Linked DNA regions of Rattus norvegicus. The main gene of each other region encodes a partner of the protein of the gene in region 3 in a complex. Links are inferred from orthologs where the notes say so. Each region holds a gene or a part of one and is shown on either strand. Other genes may lie near its edges. The genes, in order: Pias2, Daxx, Sumo1, Sae1, Ranbp2, Pml and Senp2.

What was found.
Region 1: the proteins of Sumo1 (region 3) and Pias2 are in contact, whole or in part, in an NMR structure (PDB 2ASQ), measured with the Homo sapiens proteins. The link is inferred for Rattus norvegicus from reciprocal best matches to the Homo sapiens genes SUMO1 and PIAS2. Residues at the interface, in NP_001005781.1 of Homo sapiens: Tyr21, Lys23, Val26, Glu33, Ile34, His35, Phe36, Lys37, Val38, Lys39, Thr42, Lys46, Leu47, Ser50, Tyr51, Gln53, Arg54; in NP_004662.2 of Homo sapiens: Lys466, Val467, Asp468, Val469, Ile470, Asp471, Leu472, Thr473, Ile474, Glu475, Asp479.
Region 2: the proteins of Sumo1 (region 3) and Daxx are in contact, whole or in part, in an NMR structure (PDB 2KQS), measured with the Homo sapiens proteins. The link is inferred for Rattus norvegicus from reciprocal best matches to the Homo sapiens genes SUMO1 and DAXX. Residues at the interface, in NP_001005781.1 of Homo sapiens: Lys17, Glu18, Tyr21, Ser32, Ile34, Phe36, Lys37, Val38, Lys39, Thr41, Thr42, His43, Lys46, Leu47, Ser50, Tyr51, Arg54, Gln55; in NP_001135441.1 of Homo sapiens: Glu731, Glu732, Ile733, Ile734, Val735, Leu736, Asp738, Ser739, Asp740.
Region 4: the proteins of Sumo1 (region 3) and Sae1 are in contact, whole or in part, in a crystal structure (PDB 3KYD), measured with the Homo sapiens proteins. The link is inferred for Rattus norvegicus from reciprocal best matches to the Homo sapiens genes SUMO1 and SAE1. Residues at the interface, in NP_001005781.1 of Homo sapiens: Asp30, Ser31, Ser32, Glu33, Ile34, His35; in NP_005491.1 of Homo sapiens: Thr179, Lys180, Val181, Ala182, Lys183.
Region 5: the proteins of Sumo1 (region 3) and Ranbp2 are in contact, whole or in part, in a crystal structure (PDB 1Z5S), measured with the Homo sapiens proteins. The link is inferred for Rattus norvegicus from reciprocal best matches to the Homo sapiens genes SUMO1 and RANBP2. Residues at the interface, in NP_001005781.1 of Homo sapiens: Asp30, Ser31, Ser32, Glu33, Ile34, His35, Phe36, Lys37, Val38, Lys39, Thr41, Thr42, His43, Lys46, Leu47, Ser50, Arg54; in NP_006258.3 of Homo sapiens: Asp2631, Val2632, Leu2633, Ile2634, Val2635, Tyr2636, Glu2637, Leu2638, Pro2654, Thr2656, Cys2659.
Region 6: the proteins of Sumo1 (region 3) and Pml are in contact, whole or in part, in a crystal structure (PDB 8DJI), measured with the Homo sapiens proteins. The link is inferred for Rattus norvegicus from reciprocal best matches to the Homo sapiens genes SUMO1 and PML. Residues at the interface, in NP_001005781.1 of Homo sapiens: Gly19, Glu20, Tyr21, Ile22, Lys23, Ser32, Glu33, Ile34, His35, Phe36, Lys37, Val38, Lys39, Thr42, Lys46, Leu47, Ser50, Arg54, Glu84; in NP_150241.2 of Homo sapiens: Glu554, Arg555, Val556, Val557, Val558, Ile559, Ser560, Ser570, Ser571, Ser572, Arg573.
Region 7: the proteins of Sumo1 (region 3) and Senp2 are in contact, whole or in part, in a crystal structure (PDB 1TGZ), measured with the Homo sapiens proteins. The link is inferred for Rattus norvegicus from reciprocal best matches to the Homo sapiens genes SUMO1 and SENP2. Residues at the interface, in NP_001005781.1 of Homo sapiens: Asn60, Arg63, Leu65, Glu67, Gly68, Gln69, Arg70, Ala72, His75, Glu89, Tyr91, Gln92, Glu93, Gln94, Thr95, Gly96, Gly97; in NP_067640.2 of Homo sapiens: Asp386, Lys394, Leu395, Arg396, Trp410, Leu411, Asn412, Asp413, Glu414, Thr440, Phe441, Pro444, Lys445, Arg456, Trp457, His474, Val477, His478, Trp479, Met497, Gln542, Gly545, Ser546, Asp547, Cys548, Gly549.

What each region holds. Positions count from the first base shown.
Region 1 is NC_086036.1:72,953,707-72,957,206, reverse strand, and holds part of Pias2 (E3 SUMO-protein ligase PIAS2), read right to left. Parts: intron 2,305-3,500; coding exon 2,199-2,304; intron 1,442-2,198; coding exon 1,368-1,441; intron 1-1,367. UniProt on the Homo sapiens protein: Functions as an E3-type small ubiquitin-like modifier (SUMO) ligase, stabilizing the interaction between UBE2I and the substrate, and as a SUMO-tethering factor.
Region 2 is NC_086038.1:4,974,921-4,979,194, forward strand, and holds the start of Daxx (death domain-associated protein 6), read right to left. Parts: upstream 2,801-4,274; 5' UTR 2,721-2,800; exon of another isoform or gene 2,617-2,720; intron 2,198-2,616; exon of another isoform or gene 1,957-2,197; intron 1,864-1,956; 5' UTR 1,848-1,863; coding exon 1,641-1,847; intron 1,042-1,640; coding exon 216-1,041; intron 120-215; coding exon 1-119. UniProt on the Homo sapiens protein: Transcription corepressor known to repress transcriptional potential of several sumoylated transcription factors. Down-regulates basal and activated transcription.
Region 3 is NC_086027.1:68,600,004-68,603,953, forward strand, and holds the start of Sumo1 (small ubiquitin-related modifier 1), read right to left. Parts: upstream 2,801-3,950; 5' UTR 2,760-2,800; coding exon 2,748-2,759; intron 1-2,747. UniProt on the Homo sapiens protein: Ubiquitin-like protein that can be covalently attached to proteins as a monomer or a lysine-linked polymer.
Region 4 is NC_086019.1:86,205,090-86,208,589, forward strand, and holds part of Sae1 (SUMO-activating enzyme subunit 1), read right to left. Parts: intron 1,894-3,500; coding exon 1,782-1,893; intron 1-1,781. UniProt on the Homo sapiens protein: The heterodimer acts as an E1 ligase for SUMO1, SUMO2, SUMO3, and probably SUMO4. It mediates ATP-dependent activation of SUMO proteins followed by formation of a thioester bond between a SUMO protein and a conserved active site cysteine residue on UBA2/SAE2.
Region 5 is NC_086038.1:26,983,919-26,988,113, reverse strand, and holds the start of Ranbp2 (E3 SUMO-protein ligase RanBP2), read right to left. Parts: upstream 2,801-4,195; 5' UTR 2,729-2,800; coding exon 2,657-2,728; intron 1-2,656. UniProt on the Homo sapiens protein: E3 SUMO-protein ligase which facilitates SUMO1 and SUMO2 conjugation by UBE2I. Involved in transport factor (Ran-GTP, karyopherin)-mediated protein import via the F-G repeat-containing domain which acts as a docking site for substrates.
Region 6 is NC_086026.1:67,552,089-67,556,318, forward strand, and holds the start of Pml (PML nuclear body scaffold), read right to left. Parts: upstream 2,801-4,230; 5' UTR 2,693-2,800; coding exon 2,636-2,692; intron 874-2,635; coding exon 410-873; intron 1-409.
Region 7 is NC_086029.1:92,516,141-92,519,640, forward strand, and holds part of Senp2 (sentrin-specific protease 2), read right to left. Parts: intron 2,422-3,500; coding exon 2,288-2,421; intron 453-2,287; coding exon 386-452; intron 1-385. UniProt on the Homo sapiens protein: Protease that catalyzes two essential functions in the SUMO pathway.

The DNA.
Region 1 (3,500 bases), on a different chromosome or scaffold from region 3:
ACAACATGTGGTGGAGAGGTTGAAACCAACCAACCCTGTTGTGGTGGTGGTACACGTGTGAACAGTGCTGGGACTCAGGGGGCAGGCACATCCCTAGGCTCACGGACCAGACAGACTAGCCTAAGAGGCAAGCTCCAAGCACACGCACAAAATTAATGATGTTTTGGGGGGGAAAAAAGCTGCGTAAAGATAACTAAATAAAGGCCACACAGTGTACTTATATATAATAAATAAATAAAATAAAATAGCTAAACAGCAGGTCTACTAAAGCTCGGTGTATCGGTATTTTAGCCCAATCTGGCAGCAACTGTTGGAAACAAAATTATCAGAAGAAAAGTTTTATTCCTGTTCTACTAGTGGCCCTGTGATTAGGGTTATACAACCTCAGCTACTTAATTTGCAAAATAAAAACTATGCCTCACTCAGGGTTTGTTGAAACATTTACACATTATGGAGACTCAAAAAATATTTTCTTTCCCAACCCTCCCCCCACCACACACACACCTGATATTACTTTCTCTCAATTTAAAAAAAAAAACACATTTTATATTGGTGGCAATCATCAAATGTCATCCAAAGTTACATTAGAAATTCATGATTCATAGCTTTCCGCATAAAGTTCCTTTCTTCCAGGAACCTAACGTAAGGAAGCTTCCACCCACTGTCCCTGACATCCCTCCACACCTGTCACTAGGTAGAGTCTGCCACTTTTTCATGGGTTGTGTTCTCTAACTAGATTGTCTGCTTTCTCTCAGTTAGCTCAGTGCCAACCACACATCGCACAGAAGGATATCAGATCTGGGAATGATTTCTCTCCCATGTCTCTACGTAAGAATATATGAGATAAAAATTTTGTGTAATTTAAAAGTATACTGCAAAGACAGCCCATACATCATAACTCACTAGGCCAAACTATCAATTAGCATCCATCTGAGGCTCCAGTAATGTCACTGCTATGTACAGTATCACATGCGCTCTGATAAAGCCTCTTAACTGCATTACTTTATAGCATCAGTTACCACACTTTTCTGACCCTAAGGCTTTCTGCTCTTCTGTAACAACTCTGTGCGTTCTTTCTTCAGAATAATTAAATACACAAAAAAACAAGGAGGGTGCAGTGTGCTGGCCTTTAATTCCAGCACTGAGGAGTCAGACACAGGAAGATCTCTGTGAGCTCGAGGCCAAGCTGTCTACAAAGGGAGATCCAGGACAGCCAGAGCTGTTACACAGGGAAACCCCTTAACACTTACTCATGAAGATATCTGAATGGAAGAGACAGAGGTTCAGAATTCCGTCACAATACTCTTCCACTCACCCCCACCCTTACTCTTACAAGACACTTAGTCACTTACGAGAAGCTTACTTACAGGGCACATCAAGGACACTCGAAGACTAGTTGTAGCAATTTCACTATCAGGATCTGCAGTAAGTTTTTCTTTAACTTTAAAAAGAACAAAATGGTATTAATAACTTTAAAGTTAACAGTAATATTAGAACAGAATTACAGAAAACAGTTTAAAAGTTCCTACCCTCCTTTGAATAGGCAAAGAAGCACAAAATGTTAAACATTAATGTAATAAACCACATTCCCATTATTAAAGAATTATCAACAAACTCTATATCATATATTTAATGGATTTTTTAAGATTTCTTTTTAACACTAAAGCCACTGAAAAAGAAAAATTAAAAACAAAAGTTTGTTTTGGAATTTAACACAACAGCTGGGAGGAGAAGATGGAGTGGAGCGGCCGTGAGCTCGCACTAATACGTTACTTCTCCTGACTCTCCTTATGTTTTACTGGGCTGACCTGGTTGTTTCCAACGATATTAAATGTATAAACAGAAAAGATACGTTCTTTTTTTCCTCTAACAACTGAAAACAATGTGGCAAAGATTTCTTCCACTGGGTAACAAATATGTCATGTGCCCCAGCTATTTATAGTTACATAATTATGAATATTATATAACAGCAATGCATATCAGTAAAATGTTAATAACATTATAATATATACATTATAAAATATGTTAAACTATACATAACTATTATATGTATATGTGTATATATGTACCCATATATGCATGTATGTGGTAAACATATAATAAGTGTAAGTGATTAAAATTATCGTGTATTGCTACATATCAAAGGATTTCCCTCCACCAAAGTGTGTCATATGCTTAGTCTTACAAACATTACTTACTGAGTGCTCTGGAATGATCAGGATTTCTAATACCTTTCATTTTTAATCTCTGTAATAACATGGCTGATGTAAGCTGTCGTACAAGATACACAGACATGGAGTAATTCTACAAAGAAAGAAAAGCCATTATAAAGATCACATAATGGGGTTTTGGTTGGTTGGTTTATTTACTTACAGAAAATATAAAAGGAAGAAACCTAGGCTCTGAAAGTAACACTCAAACAACTTCCAAAGGAGTGCTGGCAACTGGGACAGAAACATCAACTAAGCATGTGAGTAAGAAAATGGTTTTCTCAATATGAAATCATTTTCAACCACTTGTTATTTTAAAACATCCATTTGTATGGTAAATAGTGGGGACAAGTGCTTTTGTGGATTATGTTTTTTAATTTAGTCAAGTGAGTAGCTTGGGAGTCACCGTGAGAATAGTCCCTGGTTTTAGTTACTCATGTAACAATGCTTGCTTTTCTAGTTTCATGTGGAAATGGTTCACACTGCACAAATGAAGTTCAAATGGCTCTGCTCTAAAATTAACACTTCAAGTTTAGAGTGTCAAACTTCTAATTCTTTCTGATGAGACTACATGTTACATGGCCTAGAGCAAATGACATCATAAAATAAAACCTATACCAGCTTCTTTTTTCTAAAATAAATCCAATAAAAATTAATTCCACTTCCTAAATAGAAGGACAACTAAAACACAAGAAACAAATTACAAAACTAAAGACAAAGGCCAGAGAGTGTCCATATCCAGGCCCACACTCAGGTATTTTAGAGGCCCTGCTGACCACTGACAGCACTGCTCGGCCTCTGACCACTGCACACACTCACTCAACTCCACAATGGAGACCGCTCAACAGCCACTGAATCAAACACTTCTAAATACTCTGACAGCCTTGTAAGTATCCAAATTCCAATAACACTGCCTAAATTTTAGGTCTGCTGATCAGACCTTATTACAAAAGAAAAAAGTATTTCTATTCTACAACACAACTAAGGTGCCTACAATGACCACAGCCATTCATTTAAAAATGTAAATCATCCCTGTGGCTAAAACAAAACAAATTCTAAAAACCCTACCATAAACATCTACCTCAATTTCAAACAGGATTATGTTTTACTTCCATGAAATAGGACTATGACAGTTGATATTCACAAATATTTCCATTTATTTACTGGATAAAAAAATGAATTCAATATAAACTTTCTGCTTCAGTCAATATCTAAACTGTTAGCTTTCATTTTGAGACCAAGCATCAGTAGAAAGTCCTGTTAATCGACCTGAAGAACTAAGAAAGCTAT
Region 2 (4,274 bases), on a different chromosome or scaffold from region 3:
ACTCTTGTCTTGCATCATGGCATACTTGGAGATGACCTCATCCAGCCGGCTCATGGCCAAGGTTCGATTCTCCCGAAGGCGGCGAGCCAATGTGGGATCGGTGAGTGCGGGGTCAACGCCTGTGTGGGGAAACAGGGTCAGAGCAGTCAGTCCCAATCCTAGAAGGGATTAGAGCTGCCTCTGTTCCACCTGAAATCATCCCAGGAGCTTCCTACCTGGCCTATAGTCATCTGTGAGGTGGCAGCCAAAGTTATAGATGAGATCCAGGTGGCGGCGCTCCTGTAACCTGACACCCACATCCCGGAAGGCATCCTGAGCCAGGAGCTGAAGCTGCTGTCTGGGAAGGCCCAGACTGTGCCGGGTCGCCGCCTTCTCCACCGCTCTCAGCACATCTCCATAGTCCGGAAACGTGTCAGGCCCCGGCTTGTTGATGAGCCGCTCGATGCGCCTGTTGACCTCTGGGTATCGAGTGCCTCGGTAAGGAATTCGCTGCTCTATGACCCTCCCAGTCAGAGAAGAGCAGTCCTTCAACTCGCACAGCCGCCCAAAGAGGCGGATCAGTTTCCGCTTCAAGCGGGCCTCCTGCAAATAGGAGGAGTCGGGATCATCCAGTTCTGACAGATCCAACTCCTTTTCCTGCAGCCGCTGTATCTCTGCGACATACAGTGCCAGCAGCTGCTCCAAGCGCTGGATCTGCCTCCGGGAGCCTCGAGTCCTTGAGGCCTCAGAGGCAGTGGTTTCGGTGTTTGTAAGGTCAGACGGGGGATCTGTGGGAGGGTTATCACCCGATGATTCCGCTGAGGCTGCGGGAGCTAAGTTCAACTTCTTCTTGATGGAATGAGCTTTAAGGACAGTGCAGAGCTCGTTAATGTAGACGTAGAGCTTCGCTGGCCGGTTCCGAGACCGAGACAGAACCCTGGAGAGGATGTTGCGGAACTCTGCAGAGGCCAGAAAAGCGGACTGAGCACGCTGCTGCAGTTTGTGGAGGAACGGAACCACCTCAGGGTGGTCCGATGTCTGCATCTTACACAGTTCAAGGAACTAAACGGTTCGGGGGAAGGGACGGGAAAACCAAAAAACCAAAAAAAAAAAAAAAAGAGGGAATCAGTGAGGAAGCCAGAACAATCAGCCAATCAAACACCCCTTTCCTTGGGATCTGCCCAATCACATCATAATGGTTCACATCCTTTTCTTTTTTTCTTTTTTTTTTTTTTTGGTTCTTTTTTTCGGAGCTGGGGACCGAACCCAGGGCCTTGCGCTTCCTAGGCAAGCACTCTACCACTGAGCTAAATCCCCAACCCCCACATCCTTTTCTTAAAAAGATGTATTCTATATATGAGTACACTGTAGCTGTCTTCAGACGCCAGAAGAGGGCATCAGATCCCATTACAGATGGTTGTGAGCTACTATGTGGTTTCTGGGATTTGAACTCGATACCTCTAGAAGGGTAGTCAGTGCTCTTAACCACTGAGCTGTCTCTCCAGCCCAGTGATTCACATCTTGAATCCCAGCTGTCAGGAGGCAAAGGCAAGTAGAACTCTGTGAGTTCAAGGCCAGCCTCATCTAGACAGTTCCAGGCAACCAGGGCCACAAAGCGAGACCCTTCTCTTAAAGGAAAGGGAGCCTTCCCTGAAGCTTACCTCTTCAAACAGCTTCTCATTCTCCAACTTGTAGCACTTCCTGCTACCTGAGTTACTGCTCCCTCCATCCCCATGGGACTCAGAGGGACCAGAGGCTTCTGGTCCTGGTGAGACAGGATTAGAGGCTGGGTTGGAGGGTCCTGGCTGAGCAGCTGCTTCATCTTCATCATCATCGTCAAGCACAATGATGCTGTCATCGGTGGCCATGGGGGATCAAATCCCCCTGAGGGAAAAAGTATTTGAAAGGTCAGAATTCTGGAAGGGAAAGGGTGACTCAGGAAAAGCCCCTCCTCCTTAGTCCCACTCAGTCAGATACCTCAGGGTTCACAATAGCCTCGTCCTTTCTGAGATGTCTTCAAAGCCTGTCTTTTGCAACTATCAGTCTCAGGCAGTTCTGAAGGGGAACCTCCCCATCGATCGTCTCAAGTCCCAAATTTCAGCCCCCAGTCAATTTCCTGTCTTTCGGTTGCGTTTTCCCCACTCTCTTGTCAGCTGGTGAGTTTTTTCTTCCTACTCCCAATCCGATGGGGTATAAGATCCCACACTGCTCTCTCCGTCTACAGAAACCAACACCCAGTCGATACCACCACATGGGTTTGCCCACCTCTCGCCCTCCATCATCACAGTCCCCTCCGACTTCTTCCTAACTCCAACTCTTCCACTCCGAGGTTAAAGGGTTTCCCTCTGAAGAGCCTGGTGTCCTTCCCGCTCCTACAACCATCTCCATGTTCCACCTTCCACAAACCCGGACTTCAGGCTGGAGATTTTTCACCTCCAGTCCCCTCCCTCTCACCGCACCCAGGTTTTCCCCATTCTCTGTGACTCGTAACCGACAGCAAGCCCACCACTCAGCATTCCCAATGTCTGGGCTTCCAGCCCCAGGCGAGGACAGTCTCCAGCCTCAGCTTCCCGCCAAGTAACCCTCTCCGCGTTCAGCCCTAGGCCGCCACATTCCCCTTCAGGGCTAGCAAGGTACCATACAAGCTCGCCCCTCAGACTCCGCAGCCAGGCCGTGCGGATCCTTCGCCTTCGCCAACTCCTGCGCCGCCACCCCGGCTCCACGAACGACCTGGCCCCCACCTCAGAAACGGTCTCTCGAGGCTCCCCTCAGCGCGGATCACAAATCCTCGCAAAGTTCCCTCCGCCTTCCTTTCCCCCACCCCCACCTCAGGCCCTACAACAGACCGGAAGGCGCGGAGTTTCCGCCTGCAGCACCTGAGGGCGGCCATATTGCTGTACGGGACCTAGGCTTCTTGGGACCGGAAGTGACGCGTGGCCCGCCCACCTAGGCCGCCGCTCCGGGTGCACTGACACTCAGGGGGGCGGGGCCTGGGACCAGGTAGATGGGGCGCGCCACGTTGCCGTACGGCACCAGCCAGCTCCGCGAGGCGTGGAGCTCTTTGCACCAGGAGCTTGCCAAAGCCACTCGGCCAATCAGAAACTTCCTGCCCCAGACCTGCCCTCCCACCCCACGCCATCGGCTGGAGGGCGGGGAAGACCTTCCCATCCTTCCATCCGAGCAGGTACCTAAGGAGCTGGTGTGTCTATGGCTGTGTAGGGCTCCAGGGAAGGAAATAAAGGATTTTCTTTTCCTGTTGGTGTAAGCCTGGCACTCCCTACTTTGCTTTCCCTCCGACCAAGAGTTCCACCGCCTGGTTGCCTATGCTTGCCCTTCCCTTTAAGAGCCGGCGTGCACTTGGAGGCTGTCCAGCCCGGGCCTCCTGGGTCAGGTGCACACACACGCACACGCACATATGCATGCATACAAATGAGCACAGCATGCTGCCCGAGTGAGGTATTGTTATTATTGCGGTCCGCGAGACTGGATGCTCAATCTGCACCACAGACCGAGCTCCCTACTGGGAACCGTGGCCCCTGTTCCACCGAGGGTCGTCTTGACTGTATGGAAGGCAGTGCTTCCGGGCAGGGGTCTGCAGGGCGTTGAGGCGGAGCGCGGGATAACCTGGTGCGGGCTTGGTGAGAAGCCCTGCAAGCTGCCGCTGGGAGCGCTGGGAAACGAATCGAGGCTCATAAAATCACGCGGGGTGTCTTCCTTCTCCTGGAGAGCTGCGGAGAAAAGGAAGAGGGGAAAACAACTGTGTGATGCCGGCCGGGCCCGGGGTGGAGAGGCGAGGCCCTCAGGTGTGCTGACGAGGAAGCCTGATAAGTCAACACCCTTCGCGCGGAGACTGCATCAACGCGGTCTTCCTGCCTCAGGTGGCGGGCATCTTACCAATGTGCAGGACCAAGAAAAGCCCAGCTGCTCTCGGGGCTGGGGATTTAGCTCAGTGGTAGAGCACTTGCCTAGCAAGCACAAGGCCCTGGGTTCGGTCCTCAGCCCCCCCCCCCCCAAAAAAAGAAAGCCCAGCTGCTCTCAAGAGAACCCGAACTACAAATTTAAACCCACTTCTTCCTCGCTTCCCGTCCGGTCTTACGGCTTTCAATGGGGGCGGGGGGGGGTTTCCAGTGGCTAACGGGACTCTAAAGATAATGAAGGTTTTAATTTTCATATCCTTGGGTTTCTCAAAGTGGGTTTCCCAGAGTGAATGCCTGAAATGAAGGTTCCCCACCTTTTCACAATTATTTCGGTTTTATGTGTGTGCCGGTGTAAGTCTCTGCATGACATGAGTGCAG
Region 3 (3,950 bases):
TATAGAATGATCCTCATTCTTTGGGAAATCATGTACCAATGATGGGACCTATAGTACCTTCTTTTTAAAAAAACTGCATAATTCAGTGAATTCTCAAGGTTTAGGCATTAGATTGTGATCTATTTTAGATATAAAGATCCACTCATTTTAAACTGAAATTATGGCAAGACACAGTGGCATACACATACACCTGTAATCCCAGGACTCAGGAAAGTAAAAACAGAAGGATCACTGCCAGCCTAGATACACAGTGAGAGCATCTCAAAACAAAGAGAAAAGCTGAAACTATTACTCAATGTGACTATTTTAAGCACAAGATACAAGCTTCTAAGAGTTGCCTCAGAAAATAAAATGTGCATGGGTACTGGAGGGCATCTTGTATTCAAGTCAAGCACATTATCGAACCCCCCAACTTGAAAAAGTACCCTCTAAGGCCACCTTCTGAAGACAGCTCAGTCTCAGGCTGTTGCTATTACACACAGTACTTGGGGATTCCTACTCTCACTTATAAACCTCTTACAGGCAAGGATTCACTTAACCGTTTTCTCCAAATCTTTAACACTCAATACTGAACTTGTTCTGGGAACTAAGATTAATGTTATCCATCAGCCTAAAGCAACAGCTCCCAAATCCATTATCACACTCTCAATGATTTAAAAACCTATCAACCCAGCTGTCGTGGTGGTATACACTCTGGGAGGCAGAGGCAAGGCAAGGAAAATCTGAGGCCAATCTGATCTACATAGCAAGTTCCAGGACAACTAAGGCTACACAGAGAAACCCTTGACTTGAACTAAATAAACCCCTAAAATGTTAGATACATTTTTATTACTTTTTTTAAAGACAAAAATTTTAAGAGTAGCAGCACTATTTCCTATGCAAATTGCTTTAATGTGTAGCTCAATTTAAAAAAAAAGACTTGTTTTGCCAACTGTGGTGGTAGACATCTTTAATCCCAGCACTCAGGAAACAGACACAGGAGAAACTGAGTTCCAGGCCAGGAAAAGCTACATAGTTAAGACCCTGCCTCAAAAAAAAAGATTTGTTCTACTTTTTTGTCATGTTTCTAAAATTTTCATTGAACATCCATGATAGAATGAGAAACACACACACACACACACACACACACACACACACCAAGTGTGGCAGCATAACTCTGTAATCCCAGCTACTCTGCAAGGCTGAGGGAGTCCAAGTTCAAAGACAAGTGTGTTACAGTCCAACCTAGACAACTTAATGAAATGAAGTAAAAGGAGAAATGAGGGTTTAGTGCCTGCCTGGCAAGCACATGTGGGAGGCCCTAGGTCCAGCACCCAAAGACCCCAAGTGAGGTGAGAGAGTCCTAAGCAAGCATAGAGTGACTTTGCAGACTCCCTGAAACCTTGTGTCCTAGGGTCCTCTTTTCTTTCTTCATATCCTCACATAATGTAAGTTCAAACTAGAGCAAAACTAATCCTAAAACTTAAAACTCTTTCTGTATGTTGCCCTCTCATCTGGCTAACATGCTTTAAAAATAGAAGTCTGATGAAGCATAAGCGTTTACACAGCTGATCTCTCCTCTCTGGTAACTAAGTAAACAACTGTCATAAACAAATTATGGGCTTCATAAAGTCATTTCTAGCCCAAAAGATTAATAATCCAGATTATTAATAAGTAAATCCATCCCACAACTAATTTACAGTGTAGATAGGCTATAAAAATAGAACCACTATGGCCAGTCTGGGGTGGTTGCAAGCCTTTCATCCTCAGGAAACAGACAGGCGGATCTCTATAAACTGGAGGCCAGCCTCGTCTACAGAGGGAGTTCCAGGACAACCAGGCTACACAGAAAACCAACGTCTCAAAAAAAAAAAAAAAAAAAAAACCAACAAAAAAAATTTTAAAAAAGCTCAACTACAATGTAAAGTAGAATGAAAAAAGTTTGCTGAATTGTAACTAAAGAAGTAAAAATTAAAAAAAAAAAAAATACTCTGAAAATTAAGTCATCTGACCAAACAAAAGGAAAGCCAGACAAAAACCGTATGGATGGCATGTTGGTGGTGGCACTCTACGCAGTTTGTTGTTTCTCGGTTATTCTGAGCGCTCCTACAACTGGAGAGTTGATGGACCAATCCCGAGTAAGAAATGGAAAGTACAGAGAAAGAGTCGACCGCTCCGCACCCCCGGATGGAAAAATGACTCTGAAGTGGGCAAAGACGGACTGACCCTCCAGGCAAACACAACTGAAAAGCAGCGTCTCCTGGGTTCCCAGTCACCCCAAACAAGGATCCCTGCCCGCCCCCCACTCTCCGGGACCAAGAACCCAAAGTAGAATCGAGCTGCTTTTCAGGGCCACCTAGCCTCCCAGGCAGGGATTCTCTCCCGTTACATAACTGGGCCTAGGGCCTTGTTTCTGCCATCGGTCCTCTGAAAGGGAAACGGTCGTTTTCCCCCAGGTTGCTCTCACGGACAAGGGAGCGGGCCTGGGCCCCCAGCGAGCCCGAGAGAAACCTGGGAGCAGTCGAAAGAGACCCGGCGCTGGATGGCGTGGGGGTAGAGGCCTCCGAAAGGGCCGCGGAGGGTGCGTAAAACCCGGAGACCCTCGATCCCAGGCGGCTCGGCCCGACTCTGCCAGGCGCTCGGCGTCCCTCGCGGCCCCCTCCCCACCGGCAGCCCCCTCCCCCAACATCACCCCCTCCCCCCGCGCCCCATTCCAGGGGCTCAGCCAGCAGCCGACGGCCCTGAGCCCCAAGGCCGTGGCCCGGTACCTGGTCAGACATGGTGTCGGTGGATTCACCCGGGGGTCTCCGCACCACAGCGGCCTCCGGCAGGCAGAACCGCACTCTGAGGTTTACAAATCCGTCTCTTCTCCACAGCACAACACCGCGGCTGCAGGGACTTCCGCTACGTCTTGCGTCACTTCCGCAGCGCGCAGAGGAGAGTTTGGGAAGACGGGAAAGGGAAGCGGGAAAACGCCTTAGGGAATGCGGGAGATGAAATCGTCAAGGTTAAGCTACTTTCCTGGAGCAAGAGAACCGCTAGGTCTTCAGCGGGGCCGGGAAAACCGGCCCGCTGCCTCAGGCCTTAGGGAGACCAGCGCTTTGCCTGCAGGCTGTGTGTGTTTGGGGTCAAACTGACCGCTTAGGCTCCTCCCTGTTGGACATCTTGTACGCTTCTGAGGCCGGAACCAACTCTTCCTGAATATAGTGAATTCCCTGTATAATATCTTTATGGCCCCCTCTTGCTTGCTGCTGCCACATTCATGACTTTGATTACTAGAAATACAATAGTAACAAGTTTTCATTTTCTACAAGAGAGAAAGTGAAAGCGATTTGGAAGCCACTAGCATGTCAGAGTGAATGAAGTTAACCACAACGAGCTGAGTTATGGTGGCGTACTCCGAGTGATAGAGGCAAGCAGATCTCTGTGAGTTTGAGGCCATCTTGGTCTACAAAGTGAGTTCCGGGACAGCCAAGGCTACATGGAAGAACCCTGTGGGAGTCTAGGGGTGGGGCATGAAGAAACAACCCTTCCGGTCACATCTTTGGTTTTGTTTTGTGTTTTGAGGCAGGGTCTCACTAAGTAGCTCTGGCTATTATAGAACATTGCTAAGTCAACCAGACTGGCCTCCTCTTGCCTCTGCCTCCCCAGTGCTGAGATTAAAGACCTGGGCCACCACATCTCCAGCTCTAGAACAAAGTCTTGGTGGCTATAGATGACCAAAATGCTATTGAAAGTTGAAGTTGCAAGAGCTCCCTCCAGCTCATAAACTAGTTGCCTTACATCATAGACCTAAACATCTTCCTTTGAATACAGTGACCCTCTTGCACAAACATTCAGGGAAGATTAAGGTTATACTAAGTAAAGGGGGGAAAAATGAAAACTAAAGTAAGTCAAAAACCTTCACAGTACAAGACATTAATAAAATAATCTTTTCTGTAATTAGTAATGAGCCGATTATAAGTGGCCCA
Region 4 (3,500 bases), on a different chromosome or scaffold from region 3:
TCCTGTTTGCTCACAGATATGTATTTCCTTAGATTCTCTTTCTTTTTTAAATGTTTGCTGTATGAGAGCTTTGATATGTAGCCCAGGATGAATTCAGACTTGCAGCAATCCTACCTCTGATTTGTGAGTGCTGGGGTTACAGGTATGTATCACCATACCACTTTCCTCTTAGGTTTAACTTAATCAACTTTTAATGGGAATATAGTGTAGTTGGCAATAATATCTAAGAAGTAATGAAGCCCTAGGTCTGACCACCCACACTTCATAAATAAGTGTGGTGACTCATGCCTGTAAGAACACTGGGGAAGGGTTGGGGATTTGGCTCAGTGGTAGAGAGCTTGCCTAGCAAGCTCAAGGCCCTGGGTTTGGTCCCCAGCTCCGAAAAAAAGAAAAAAAAAAAAAAAAAAGAAAAAAAAAAACACTGGGGAGACAGAGGCAAGATCAGAGTTGAAAGTCACATAGTCAGCTAGAGCTAACCAAAATCCTACCTCAATGGCAATAAAAAAGTCAGAACCTATGGCACGTCCCTTCATCTCAGCACTATGGAGGCAGAGGACAGGCTGATCTCCATGAGTTTGAGGTCAGCTTGGTCTACACAGGCTCCCAGCCAATCCCTACATAGTGGAGCCTGCCTGGCATGGAGGCGCATATGCTTGCCTTCAATCACAGCACTCGGGAGGTGGACGCAGGTACATCTCAGTGACCAGATTGGGCTACACAGCGAGTGCCAGGGCAGTCAAGAACTACAGAGAAACTCTGTCACAAAACAGACTAACCAACAAACAAAAGTCAGCTTTCTTCATATCACAGTAGAAAGTCCTAGTTTTTTTTGTTTTTTTTTTTTTCTTTTTTCTTTTTTTCGGAGCTGGGGACCGAACCCAGGGCCTTGCGCTCGCTAGGCAAGCGCTCTACCACTGAGCTAAATCCCCAACCCCAAGTCCTAGTTTTTTGAGGCAAGGTCTCATAGGCTTGAGGCTACACTCCAAGTCCCACGGCAGCCTGAACTACAGTGAGACCCTGCCTCAAAAGACCAAGATGCAAGCAAATCAGCAAAAAATCGTTAGAAAACTTACATGTCAGTGAGGCTTGGAAGTGTATAAACACACACTTCCAACCCCGAAGAAGAGACAAGCCAGAGAAAGCTGCATGTGAACCGGGCACTGCTGTGCTATCTCCATATGATGTACAGTTTAATACTGGACGCTCACCATTCTCTGTATATGCATTCTATATACCTTCTCTCTGATTCAACATTTTTCAAAGTAACATTGGTGAGTTTCACGTACAAGATTATTTTGACTATTTTTGTTTGTTTATATACCTTTATTTTGTGTGCATTGGTGTTTTGTGTGCATTGGTGTTTTGCCGGCATGTATGAATGTGAGAATGTCAGATCCTGCAGTTACGGACAGTTCTGAGCTGCAATGTGAACGTAGGGATTTGTACTTTGAAAGAACTCTCCAGCCCCATTGTGACTTCTTTAGGAGCCTCATTATGTAACAAAAGCTAGGCTTGAATTTATAATCCTGCCTCAGTCTCCTGAGTGTTGGGATTACAGGCAAGTGCCATCACACTGACCTGAGGTGTCTGTTGTATGTTCTCATTCCTGAACCACTCCAGACCTTCTTCTGAATCAGCAGCTCAGGTGCTGAAGGCTACATACGTGCATAAGCCTCCATCCCGCCTCAGTCTCCCACCTACAGGTCACTGAACCGGATTTGCCCAGCAGCACTCACACACAGCACTGCCTCTTGGAGACCAGGCAACCAGATGGTACCTACCTGTTCATGGTCCAGCATGGTGAGCCCTTTCACTCCTGCCAGGATAAGGTTCTTGGCGATTTCAGCCCCAAGTCCTTTCATGCCGACAATCAGTACCCGAGAAGCTCGAAGCCTGTGAAACACATGCTATGTTATTAATCCGATGACCCCAAACAGTGGGACTTGTTCAATCATAGAACAATAGAAAAAGTAAACTTAATTTTCACTATATGTACCACAAAACCACCACTGAACCTTCAGATCTAGAAAACAGGTCCCAAACAATTCTGCACAGAAAATTACTTCTTTATTGAGCAGGTACCATGCATCTTCTCCACAATGTACAGAGCAGTAAAGAAAGCAGCTCTTTAAACATAAGACTAGGGGTTGGGGATTTAGCTCAGTGGTAGAGCGCTTGCCTAGCAAGCGCAAGGCCCTGGGTTCGGTCCCCAGCTCCGAAAAAAAGAAGAAAGAAAAACAAAAACAAAAAAAACCAAACAAAACAAAAAAAAAAATAAGACTAGATGATGCTGCTGGGGTTATAGCTCAGCCTTGCACGTATGAGGTCCTGCATGGATCCCCAGAAATACAAAATAAACGTCTAAAAAGAGGACAAAGGAAGACGCAATTTTAAACAGACCAGTGGTAATGATAAAACCTTTCTGAAGGAGTGTATCTGTAATCTGAGCGGCTGGGAAGCTGAGACAAGAGGGATCTCAGGAAGTTCACATCCAGACTAGATCACAAAGATCTTATCTCAACAACAAAAAGAAACCCAGAGAAGGAGCTTTTCAATCAAAACGAAATAAACAAGCAGCCAACATACAGATAGCGGGAAAGAAAGCATTCCACTATAGAAACCTAAACCTGTAAGCACACGAGCTCAGGAAGGGACACCTGAAGCTGGGTGGGGTGGGCACCTTTAGTCCCAGCACTCAGGAGGCAGAGGCAGGCAGATCTCTGTGAATTCTAGGCCAGCCTGGTCTACAAAGCGAGTTCCAGGACAGCCTGGGCTGTTATACACACAAAAACATGTTTCAGAAAAAAAAGGAAAAGAAAAAAGCAAAAGGAAAGAAGGGGTTGCCTGGCTTGACCGCTTTCAGAGACAGCAAAAACAAAGAGGTGCAACGTGATGCAGAAAGGACCAATGTGAAGTGTGAAATGAGGGGCACAGCACGAGGTAGGCACTAGAAACCGTGTGCACGCGCACTCAGACTAGTATAGTAACCAAAGAGGTGCTGAAAAGGCAGTATAATTATTATGGTTTGTGGACTGAACTCAGGGGCTCCTGCCAGAGCAGGCAAGTGCTTTACTAATGAAGTATAACCCCCAGCTCAGTAAGAGGAGCATTATTTAATCTGGAGCACAGAAGCAAAATACATGGAGGCACAAGAAGTTGTGGGTGCACACCTGTAATTGCAGCACTGGAGAGGCAGAGACAGGATCGGGGGTAGAGTCATGCTATGCCACATAGTTAGGCCAACCTGAGCACAACAAAAACAGGTAGGGGAATTGTTTTGATTTCTACAAAGAAAAATAAGACAAAAAAACAAAGCACCTGGAGAACAAACACCAGGGGCTCTTTTTCAAAATGACTTCCACAATCGGTGAGTGCTTACTTAAGCGTTAAAGTCTTTAGTACGCCCAGTGGCTGTCAGGTGCTGGGGTGCATAGCTAAAATCCCAGCACTTCTTTTTTTTTCTTTCTTTCTTCTTTTTTTCGGAGCTGGGGACCGAACCC
Region 5 (4,195 bases), on a different chromosome or scaffold from region 3:
AAAGAGCAAAAAAGACTAAAAATAATTAGGACTGGCAATGTGGCTTCAGTAAGTAAAGGTACCTGCCATTAATTCCATTCCTAGGCATCACATGGTAGAAGAGAACCAACTCCAGCAAACATCCACACATGTGAACCTAAACACACACACACACACACACACACACACACACACACACACACTTGCTCCCAAAATAAAATGCAGTAAGATAATAAATTCAAGTATCAAGCAAAGCATTGGTAAGAACACGGAGAAACTGAAGCCACAGAAGTTGATAGCAGGAATATAAGTACAGTCACTATAAAAGAGAGTCTGGGACTCCCCAGAAAATACTAATACACAGCCCAACAATTATTTCTCAGTGTAACTCAAGGGATTAAGAGCAAGCACTCAAATGTTTTTATATCAGTGTTCATTGCATTACACATTATTAGGCAAAAGATATAAACAACCTAAGTGTCAATCAACAATAAATGAATAACCAAAATGTGGCATACCTAAGATAATACAAACATAAAATATTGAGCCACTGAACAGGAATAAGAACATCACTCTCCACAAAGAAAGCAATGCAGTAGTAGCCCGTGCCTTTAATCCCAGCACTGGGGAAATGAAGGTGGGCGGCTCTCTTAGTTGGAACCAGCCAGGCCAAGTCTACAAAGTTAGTTCCATCTGGGTACACAGAGAAACCCCATCTCAAAAACTAATTAAAAAAATAAATAAATAAAAAGAATAAGACTCCCAACACCCTACAACATAAATGACCTTGAAAATATACTAAAAGGAGCACAGAACAAAAAAAAAAAAAAAAGAAAAAGAAAAAAAAAAGAGGCTGTGGCATTGTTTCTTAATGGTTACAGAACTTGTTTGGCATAATTTAAAAAAAAAAATACAAAACAAAATTGGAAATAAGGGTTATGACCGAACAACTCTGAATGTAAATGTCACAAAAGTGAACAATGAATGAAACTAGTTAAAACAACAAATTTCTTATAGTTGTCATACTATCCAAGTCAACCCACACTGACCAACCCATCCAACCTTACATAACATTTTAAAACATATCTTGGTATGGTACATATGTGGCAGCACACACCCTCAATCCCAGAAGAGGCGGGGGAATCTGTTTGAGACCTGCCTGGCCTACAGAGTGAGTTCCAGAACATAATAGAAACCCTGCCTCAAAACAAAAACAACTCCAAAGTCAGATTTGAATACACAGAGACCTTGAAATGGTTCCTAACCTAATTTGACAACTATTTACACATTTACATAGTATATTAGTTGAGTTTGCTTTATCTGAAATGCTTGGCATTTTTAGATTTCAGGGTCTTGTTTTTTTGGTGTTTGTTTTTAGATTTTTAAATATCTTCAAGCATGTTAGAGATCCTGGTGACAAGACCCAAGTCTAAATATAAACACATTTGTCTAATGTACACCTTATAGATAGAAATCTGGAAGCACTTTCATACGATAATTTTTGTACCCTGGCATTTTGACTTTGATCCATCAGAGGAAACTGGGTGTAAAATTTCCCACTTTGGCATACCTGCACTAAATGAACTTGAGATTTTTAAAATCGCTTTGGATTTGATTGGGGGAGGGGGATTATAGATTTATTAGACTGGATTATTTAGCCCATAGAAGCCATCTAAAGAAGAGCTTCAAAGTAGGTAACGAAAAAATTATGCCATTTTACAAAAGGGACACATGTATGTTCACGAACTTTGGTATATATAGATGACCATAAAACCCTCAGAGACAACTATTTCTCTGAACTTAAAAAATAATATACAACTGAATTGTGTGTTTGTATACACAAACTGAAGCTCTGAGTCATGAATCCTGGGTAACACTAACAAGATAAAAATTCCGTTTTATTGATGAAACGTCTATACTGTACCAAATTACTGTTTACAAATGGCAGAACTAAGATTGTTCAATCCCCCCTCCCCAAAAATTGATTCTAGATCCTTTGTACATCTCTCTCCACCGGCAAACACTCTTGAAAAACCGAAAATAAATACAACACATTAATGACCTTAAAAAAAATAAAAAAGGAAAGCTACAGAACATGTTACAAAATAACCCTAGAAATGTTGGGGCGTGTCAACTACTGCCTGGAAGAAATCCCTAACCTTCCGCCTTTAAATAAAAAAACTTAAAAAAAGAAAAGACTAGCAGCTTCCAAATGAGGTTTGGGGAAGTGGGGGGGATGTAAGGAGCGGGGCACAGCAATAGAAGACTCAAATTATGGGCCTTCCGTGTCATTTGTGCTGACGCGCCCTTACGAATGTGGCTGCTCTTGCTCTCCGCGGAGCCACCCACACAACCGTAAAAGCCCACCGCCGTGCGGCGTCAGCTTCTCCGGAGACACCGCCGCCGCGACAGGGCCTAGCTATCCCAGAGACCGAAGGTGCCTGCTGGACGTGTCTCGCAGAGCGCCCCACGCCGGCCTACGGAGCCGAGGCCGAGGAAGCTAGGCCTGAATGGGCCCGCGGACCGCCATGAAGAGCAAACGTTGGCGGCCGCAGTCCCGACGTCTCCGGTGCTCAGCAGCGCCACGCCGCCGCGACCGCCTACAGCCAGGCGGGAGCCGAGGCCGCCGGGAGCCATGACGCTGGCGCACAGTGCCAGCCTGGCCAGACTTGCTTACCTCTCGGGGCGACGGGGCGGAGCCCTGCACCGAGGCGATGTACCGCTCCACCTCGGCCTTGCTGCGCCTCATCGTGCCGCCGACCAGGCTCCCCGGGAGCGGCAGGCCAGCTCTGGGGCCTACAGCGGCTGCGGTCTCCAGGAGGTGAGCGCCGAACACCGGTGACGCAGCTCCGTCGCGAGCGGATAGGGACAGTGCGTGCGACGTGCGTCATCACTGTGCGCCTCGTTGCAGTCTGACGCGCCTGCTCGTTGTCACCCCAAACCGCCTGCCCTTGAGACCACGTGACCATGTCGCACACGATTGTGAAAAACTCCCTTCCCCAGAAAAATCTGTATATTTCACTATTGCTACGTCACAAAACGGACCCAAAATGGCAGTACTGCAGACAGGGCCATAAGAATCCGACCTTTTCGGGACTACATCTAGTCCACAGTTGATTTCCTTCTAAAGAGATAAACTTCATTATTGCCTCCGGTTTCCATAGAATAAAGGTGAATATTGGACAGTGATTTTCTACTTAAATAAACCAGAGTGGGAATATTAGCGTCACATGATGAGATGCACCTTCCCGGGGTAGTTGACGGTTAAGGGCAGAGAAGGGAAGTGGTGGCTTTTCTGACAAACAGAAAGAGGCTTCACCAGGTTTTGAGCAAGGATGATTTTAGGTTTCTGTATGCATAAGAATCGAGGCGGTCATTAGGACATTGTCAGCAGCATTGCCTTTTGGGGGCCTGTTTTGTGACTTAACAATGAGCAGAACAGATTATACTAGACTATTAAAATTAGTCTCTTCTTGCTAGAAAGATGGCTCGCAGTTAAGAGTTCTTGCAGCTGGGGGTTGGGGATTTAGCTCAGTGGTAGAGCGCTTGCCTAGCAAGCTCAACGCCCTGGGTTCGGTCCTCAGCTCCGGAAAAAAAAGGAAAGAAAAAAAAAAAAAAGAGTTCTTGCCGCTCCTCTGAAGAACCAAAATTCAGTTCTCAACCGCCTATTCCAAAGTATCTATCTAAATCCAGATTCTGACCTCCATAGCGCGCGTGCGCGCGCGCGCGCACACACACACACACACACACACACACACACACACACGTCCTCATGTACACACAAATCCTTTTTTTTTTTAAGTAAAAGATTGTGAATAAACTGTTGTAAATAACTCCTGAAAAGAATCTGTATCTGCAAATACTGATTAAAACCGCAGTGGAAAGGTTAGAGTGGCACAGTTCCAGATATCAAATACCTTACTGTCAGATCCAAAGAATACCCCATCCCATCCCCAAAAAAGGCTGCCCCGCTGACTCCAAAATTGAATCTAATTTAGACTCAACCTGGACTATGGAGGATTTCTGGCAGTTAGATAAAAGCCTGCATTCCTTAGGATCAGTGAAACTGGTTCCTATCTACCAAAAGGAGTCATTTCCCTTTCCCCTTGCAGAAATGACTTATAGATGTATGCTAGCCTCCAGGCTCCCCAATCTCCACTTAAAAGTACTCTTTAGACAATTCAAAGCCCCCTTGCCAGCATGCTGGCTCCTCGCT
Region 6 (4,230 bases), on a different chromosome or scaffold from region 3:
TGCATGTAGTCATTTTCAGATAGCACTCCCTGAGGCTGTAGTTTCAACTTTTCAAACACTATTTAACCTGCCCCTATCCAGCTTACTGAGATTCCTGGGGCCTCCAAAGGAAAAGTCTACTCTTTTTTTTTTTCTATTCTTTTTTTTGGAGCTGGGGACCGAACCCAGGGCCTTGCGCTTGCTAGGCAAGCGCTCTACCACTGAGCCAAATCCCCAACCCCAAAGTCTACTCTTAAGACATCTAAAGTTCGGTGGTGACAAATACTAAAATGTACTGTTTTTACACATCACATTTTTCCCCCAAGAGGGGCATTAGAAACGCCTACGAGCCAGCGGACCTCATTTTGAGTGACAGTTCCCTGAAGCTCCCCCCCACCCCCCACCCCCAGCTCCAGGATGCCTCACTTACTTAGTCTGCGCAGGAGTGCGGTGGTTGGTATTGGAGCAGAAGATGTTGGACTTGCGAGTACTGTCGAGGAATTCGCGCACTGAGTTGTCGCGGAGCTCGGCCAGGGGCCGGGCCTCGTGTTTGAGGTACCACTGGTGTGCATCAAAGCACTTGCCACACATGAGCTGTTCACACTCGAAACACCAGAAGTCAGCCAACTCTTTGCAGCGAGTGCACGCAGCCTGCGCATCCACAATCTGCCGGAACACCGCCAGGCGCCGCTGCAGGCTCTCGAAGAACACGTTATCCAGGGCCTCCGCATTAGCATTGGCCGACCCCGGTGCCTGGCAGATCGGGCATTGCAGGCCGGGCGCCTCCAGGCATCCGGAGCATAGCGTGTGCAGGCAAGGCAGCAGTTTGGGGCACTTGGCTTGGGTCTGGCAGCCCGGGCAGCGCAGAAACTGAAATTCCTCCTTTATGGCTTGCTGGTGAACCAAGGAGAGAGAAGTGAGGCCTACAGAAAGCCCCAAAGTCCTGTCCCCTCCACTGGCCACCCATTCCTTCAGCTGGAGGCTGGAGTAGGTAGGACCTCACATTCCATTCCTGGGAGTCACTGGATCCTGTCCTGGCTTATCGGCAGCCCAGTTCCTCATTTACTGAGGCCTTGCAGCTCTCGCCACACAATTTACTGGACTCCCATCTACTTATCCTCAGACTCACTAGTAGACACTGAGATACAAGACTGGATACATCTTTGCCTTTAAAGAACTCGAGTCTGGAAAAGTACCAACTTCATATAAAGTGCTTAACACAGTTGGTGGGATAGTCCTCAAAAAGTTAGACTTAAACCACCAGAACTTCTACTTTTCATATATACTCAAAAGAACTGGGAAAAATATCCAGGCATATAATTATATACTAATGTGCCTAGCTAGCAACACCACCACAAAAGTCACAGTGACCCAAGTGTCCATTAGCACAGGAATACGTGAACAACACGTGGCTGCAAATGTAACGAAATACTATTCAACCTTAAAAAGGAATGAAATTTTTGATACATTCAACAACCTGGATGAACCTTGAAGACATTGTGTTAAATGAAATATGCCTGCTATAAAATGAGAAATACTGTGTAATTCCAGTCATACTAAACAATAAGACTAGTTAGTTCATAGATACAAAAGGTAGAGCTGGTGTGTAAATGGTCCAAAGTTCTCAGTACAGTACTGGGCACATGAGAAGTACCCGTTAATGTTAACTAGTATTTTTAACCCTCAGTTATACAACGCTAATATAAAAAGTTATGGCAATGTGGCCTTATTTGTGCTTTTGTCAAGAGAAAAAGGAATGAAGAATAGCGGGATGGGGGTAGTTCCTTCAGGGGGGGTTGAGGCAATACTTCCGGGAGGACCATGAGCTAGGCTTCCTTAGGAAAAGACCCATGACCTTGGGGATGCATACATTAATCCCAGAGCTCAGAAAGCAGAGACAGGTGGTCTCTAGGAGTTTGAGGCCAACCTGGTTTACACAGTGAGCTCCAGCTAGGCCAAGACTACAAAGTGAGACCCTGTGTTCAAGACGATAAAATAAAATAAAAATCCCTAAACACCTCATACACATAAAATAAATGTATGGAGAGAGAGAGAGAGAGAGAGAGAGAGAGAGAGAGAGAGAGAGAGAGAGAGAGAGACTGACTCTGCATGGATCATGTTGGTTTTAGCAGGCACTTTGATCTGGACCAGGTTTTGTTCTGTTTTGTTTTGAAACAGGTCTTGCTGTGATGCCCTCGGCAGTCTTGAACTCTCTTTGTAGACTAGGCTGGCCTGTAACCTGTCATCCTCCTCCAACTCCCACATCCCAAGTTCTATTGCTCCTGGGATGTGCGACCACTGCTGAGAAACTGGAAGTGTTTGTGTGTGGGTCGGGGTGGGGGTGCTATAGTTAGTTCTGCCATGCCTGGGACATGCCTTTAGCTCCAGGCCATGGCAGAGATAGGAGATAAAGGGCAAGGCTTCAGGGAGTAGGAGTTGCAACCCAACTGTCCCCAGGGCTTCTGTAACTCATCCTGTTCCTATTTTATTCTACGCTATCAGTTCTATCCATGCCCAGTCAGGGGGTTCAGGACCCTGGTGTCTCTTTAGGACACTAACTCACTTTTCTATAATGACCTTCTCTGTTCTCAACTTCCCCACCAAAGTAAACGAATAAAAAACCCTAGCATCCCCTCATCTCCTAATCCAGTAGTACCTCCGCGGGGCTTTGGCTGTGTTCATGGTCTTCGGAGGGTTCCTCTGGGGGAGGCATGGTGGGCGTGGGGATCAGGGCAGGATCCAGTTGCTGACAGAGAGATCCAGAGGGTGCAGGCGCCTTCTGCGTAGAGCCTGGTTCAGTTTCGATTTCTGGATTGGGTCTGTGAGGGCGGGAAATGCGTCCCAGACTTGAGCCAGAAAAGTGAGCTGCGGGGAGGTGCCCGCGGAGGGCCCGCCTCCCGAGAGGAAGTGAGACAGGACTGGGCGGGTCTAGGGGCGGAGAGGCTCGTTCTGTAGTCTCCCTTCTAAAGTTAAGAGAAAGACTGCGAAGTTATGGAACAAACTCAGATAGAGCCAGAAAGGTTAACCAAACAAGCACGTAAACAAGCCCGGCAGGCTGGCACAGCTCTGTAGCAGAATGTTCGCGAGCTTGACTGCTCTACAAGTAAAGATCCTATCACGCACTCAGCATGCACACTAGGAGAGATGCAGAGCTGACTGCCTAACAGAGAGGCGTTTATTTCCCGGACTGGGAGCTATTCAACTCACCTCACAGTTCTGTGTCTTTCTAGTTAAAAGCCAGGTAGAGAAATAAACCCCCTCTTTGAGCGAGCCCCCAAGTGACCCTAAATGGAGACGTCGACCCAGTATTGGGATGGGTTTGCCTGGAAAGGCATCCCTCAGCTGAGAATGAAGCATGAGATAGAAAATCACCAGGGATTCAGGGTTGCACGGACACTCTAAAGAGAGGCACGCACCTGGAAAGGAGTGGAGGTCTAAAACAAGAGAGCCAGTTTGGGAAGTAGTTAGGACCATTTTCAGACTTGAGATGGGGCTCCTGTGATGATGTCAGAGAAGATTAGATTAATCATAAAATGAGAGATGAACCAGTTCTGTATATGATCAGAGAGTTGGTGAAGGGTTTGCTACAAAGTGTCAACTTTGTCTCTCGGATGACCTTGAGGCAGGTGGCCTATGAAAAGTGGTTGTGGGAGGCAGCCAGACCTGAGTCAGTGGAAGGACAGTGATGACAGAACAGGATGATGTGACGAATAGGTCTGGTGAATGTGCTCTGTATGGAGGTAGAGAAGTCAGGGAGGAGCTGGCCAGCAGCAGTGAAAAGAACAAGAAGATAGAAAGTTAGCTTTTTGGCCAATGAAAAGCAATTCAGAACCCAGTGAGTGAGGAAAGCACACAACTGCAGACACTCTCATTGGACAGTGCCTTTGGCTTCTGACTTCAGTCTGTTCCCACCCACTTTTCTGGCCCCTGTGTGCATCCACCCTACTCTCTGTTCTAACTGATTAGAAGGGATGGTGTAACTTAAGAGTTGGGGCGAGTTGGGTGCTAAAGGGAAACCCAGCATCCTGGAGACTATGAAAGGCCTTGAAAGTATGCCATACCTCCAAGCTGACCAGTATTCCTTGGCCTTTAAAATTAGGCCATCAAACTAAGATCAGCCAAATGTGGTGGGCAGTTGTTTCAGTCATATTGTGTACAAATATTTGTGGTTTTTCCCTTCAATTTTTTATTATGCGATGTGATATCTATTAAGAGAATTTCAATGATTATCATATTGAAGATTGAGATACT
Region 7 (3,500 bases), on a different chromosome or scaffold from region 3:
GCCCATTCTTGATTTTAATCAATAAGCCTTGATCTGAAGTCACGTTTGGAATCATGCTTGTAACAGGAAATACAGCGGTCAGCTCAGACAAAGATTATAAAGGAGAGCTCCAGGTTAAACATCCTTCCTGTAAAAACCGCAGTTTACCTCAGGGATGTTCAACTGCTGGGCTCCATGCAGACATCCCTAAAATCTAAAAACTCTGAAACCAAAGGCATTTCTAGTCCTAGGAATTTAAGATAAAGTTTGTAATATTTTTATGGACAGTAACGAGATTATGCCTTTATTTCACCCCGATCCAAACTGGTGCTTTCCTTTCATATTCTTAATACTTAGGGGATATGGCTGTAAAGACAGGCAAGCAAGAATATCCTGAGCAGCTCACCCAGCTTCAGCATGCTGCTGCAGGATCCAGAAGTCGTCAGTTCACAGGAGGGAGAGTTCGAGAACACCTAGAATAAAAGTCACTTCTAAAGTTGCAATTAAGCACTAACATAAAAGTTCACTAAACTCACGTCACTTTCAAGCTGGCACACAGAAATGATGCCATTCAGGTAAAAAGTCACAGGACAATGTTAAAAGATAGTTACAGATTTCTCACAAATACTTAAATAAGAAAACAAAGACCAAATTTCCCTTTCCAAGGGAGAAGCTGTGCGGCACAGGCTGACCTCACCCTCACTTCCTTGTTGAGGCTTGGTCTTGCTGTCTATTATAGTGCTGAGTGCAGCCCCCAGGACTTGGAGTCTGTATGCAGACCTTTGACTCTGCCCCCAAGTTATTTCTGATTGGTAAATAAAGGTGCAACAGTCAGTAGCTGGGCAGAAGAAATAAAGGTGGGGCTTAGGTTTCTTAGAGAAGAGAAGCCACCATAGGTTAGGTGAACCATATAAACTTGGCCCTGAGGGCTGGCCAATTAGAGTTAAGAGCAGCCCAGATGAAACAAAGTAATAACTACGGGTCATCTATAGGAAAGTAGATTCTAATAGCATAGAGGGTAGGTATTTTCCCAGCTCTTGTGCTGTTTAAGGCTTATTGTAAATAAAAAGGTTATGTGTGTCTTTTATCTGGGAACTAAATGGTCATAGGCGAGGTAAAAACCCTGGGTCAGGGTTAAAAAATTATTACAACACTCCACTCTGTTCTTTTTTTGTTTTTAGGACAGTGTCTGACTGTAGCCCAGGTTGGCTTGGAACTCACTATGTAGCCAAGCGAGTCTCAATTTCATAATGGTTCTTCTTCTTCTGCCTCTACCTGCTAAGGATTACGAGCATTAGCCACTGCACCTGGCTTTGCTTTCCCTTTTGGCTTTTAAGTGAGGGTGTCACTAGGCTGTCATAATGGTCTTGAAGGTCGAATCTACCTTAGCTCTTCTGCAGCTGCCTTCTGGACACTAGAATCACAAGAGCATGCCACCAAGCTGAGTTATCTAACACTGTTTAAAACTGTTATTGCATTCTCCTCCCCCTTTTCTGTGCACAAATGTGTGCATGCACATGTGTTTTGGTGCATGTCTGGAGGATAGAGGACATCCAGCAGGAATTAATTCTCTCTCTCTACAATGTGGGTCCTGGGGACTAAACTCAGTTCATCAGGCTTAACAGCTCTTTACTCACTGAGCCACCTTGCGGGCTCCAAAATATTCTTCATAAATATTTTTAAAGTATTTAAATTATTAACCTTTAATTTTTTTACTTTCATATTAAAGTTAATAAATGCATGATCATTTCTGGAATAAATCAATATATATGTTAATCCCCCAAAAGACTATGAGAATTTTTTAAAATTTTATTTTACTAATGTTTAGTTTTTTAAAACTAAGGACAAATATCACAGTGTGAAGGGCTGGAGATAACAACTCAGCAGTCGGCCCATGCTTAAGAGCCACAAGACTCATGCCAAGTACAGCTTTAATCCCAGCACTCAGAACATAGAGGCAGGTGTATCTCTAAGGTTCGAGGCCAGCCTGGTCTACAAAGGTCAGCCTGGTCTACAAAGGCCAGCCTGGTCTACAGAGTGAGACTATGTAAAGAGACCAGGTCTCAAAAAATCAAACAAAACACAACAACAACATAAACCCAAGCCACCAAAGCCACAAAAAAGATATAGAAGGCTTGGGGGCTCCATCTCCATAATAAATAAATACATACATACATAACTACATAAATAAATGAATACAGTTAATTTAAAAACAAAACAACAACAAAAACCACAAACAAATGAAAGCCCCAAAAAAATCAAAAAGGGAAAGAAAAGAGATCAGTACCCAAGTCCCAGTCCCACTGACCTCTCCTGAAGGGGCCACATTCCGTGTTCCATTACAAGCAGAAGACACCATGGGTTTGGTGGTCAGCTGGAATGGGAATCCAAATAAGCTGGCCGCATTGTAGAGACTGTTCTTCACTTGGTGAATGAAGCAATCTAGAAAGCACCAACCAGCTATAAACATAGCACTAAACTTTCAGAAAAAGCTAAGTTTTCAAAAGAATCTTAGTTCTTAATAAAGTCTTACTTCTGAACACCAAAATTAAAATGTACCTATAAAAATGTTCTTGGGCCATCGAGATGTTAATGTGTGGCAGTTTTGCTGCTCAAGCCTGGCAATGCTAGTCTGACCTCCAGAACCCATGAGAAGATGGAGAGAAGTGACTCCACGGGCAAGTCCCAGTACAACCCACTCACACATGTGCATCATGCACACACTAACAAGTACTTTTTCCGACTGATAAAAGGAATTCTAGTGTGTGAGCTTGTGTTAGTCAACTACCCGAGCTGCTACCAGAGCATTCAACCATTACTGTGGTAAACCACAGACTGGCTCCCCAAGAAGGATGTGAAATAGCCGCTTTTGAGGAGTGCATTTTGTAGAGTTCATATAGGGAAGCTTCTCCATGAATCTTCACTGGCTAAGTGAGCACTCACAGTGGGCATGGGGTCCCACAGGGAGCACTAACACTCACTCACTGATCTGCCCATCCGTCCCAGCCAGGTAACAACGATTGCCTTAAACAACCATCCTCCAAGCCCTGACAAATCTTGGCTGACTGAGGATTAGACACACAGGTCTTACGCATCTGTGACGAGGAGAAACTATCCCTCTATGGAACTAGATGCATCGACCCTCTCAAGCCCACTTCTTCCTGGCACCAAGGATTACAAAACAGAAATAAACAAATGGGGTGTGTGTGCCTCAGTGCTCTTCTGCCTTCCTCTTTCATCATACTACCTCTTCTCACTTCCGGCACATCTATGCTGCCTACAGTTTCTTCGTCACTAACTGAACATTAGTCGATGGGCCTCCTACGAGGTGGCCTCCTTTCTTTTCTTTACCTCTGCTTTTTCTTCTCCCCTGAAGCTACCTAGAGTTTATCTACTGTAGAAGCCAGTAGTCAGGTGTGCTTCCCTACTGATTACTTTTATATCAGTGAAAATTAAAGTTCAGTTCTTTATGGAGGGACAATGGCTCCCACCTGTACTCCAAGAACTTGGGAGGCCGAGGA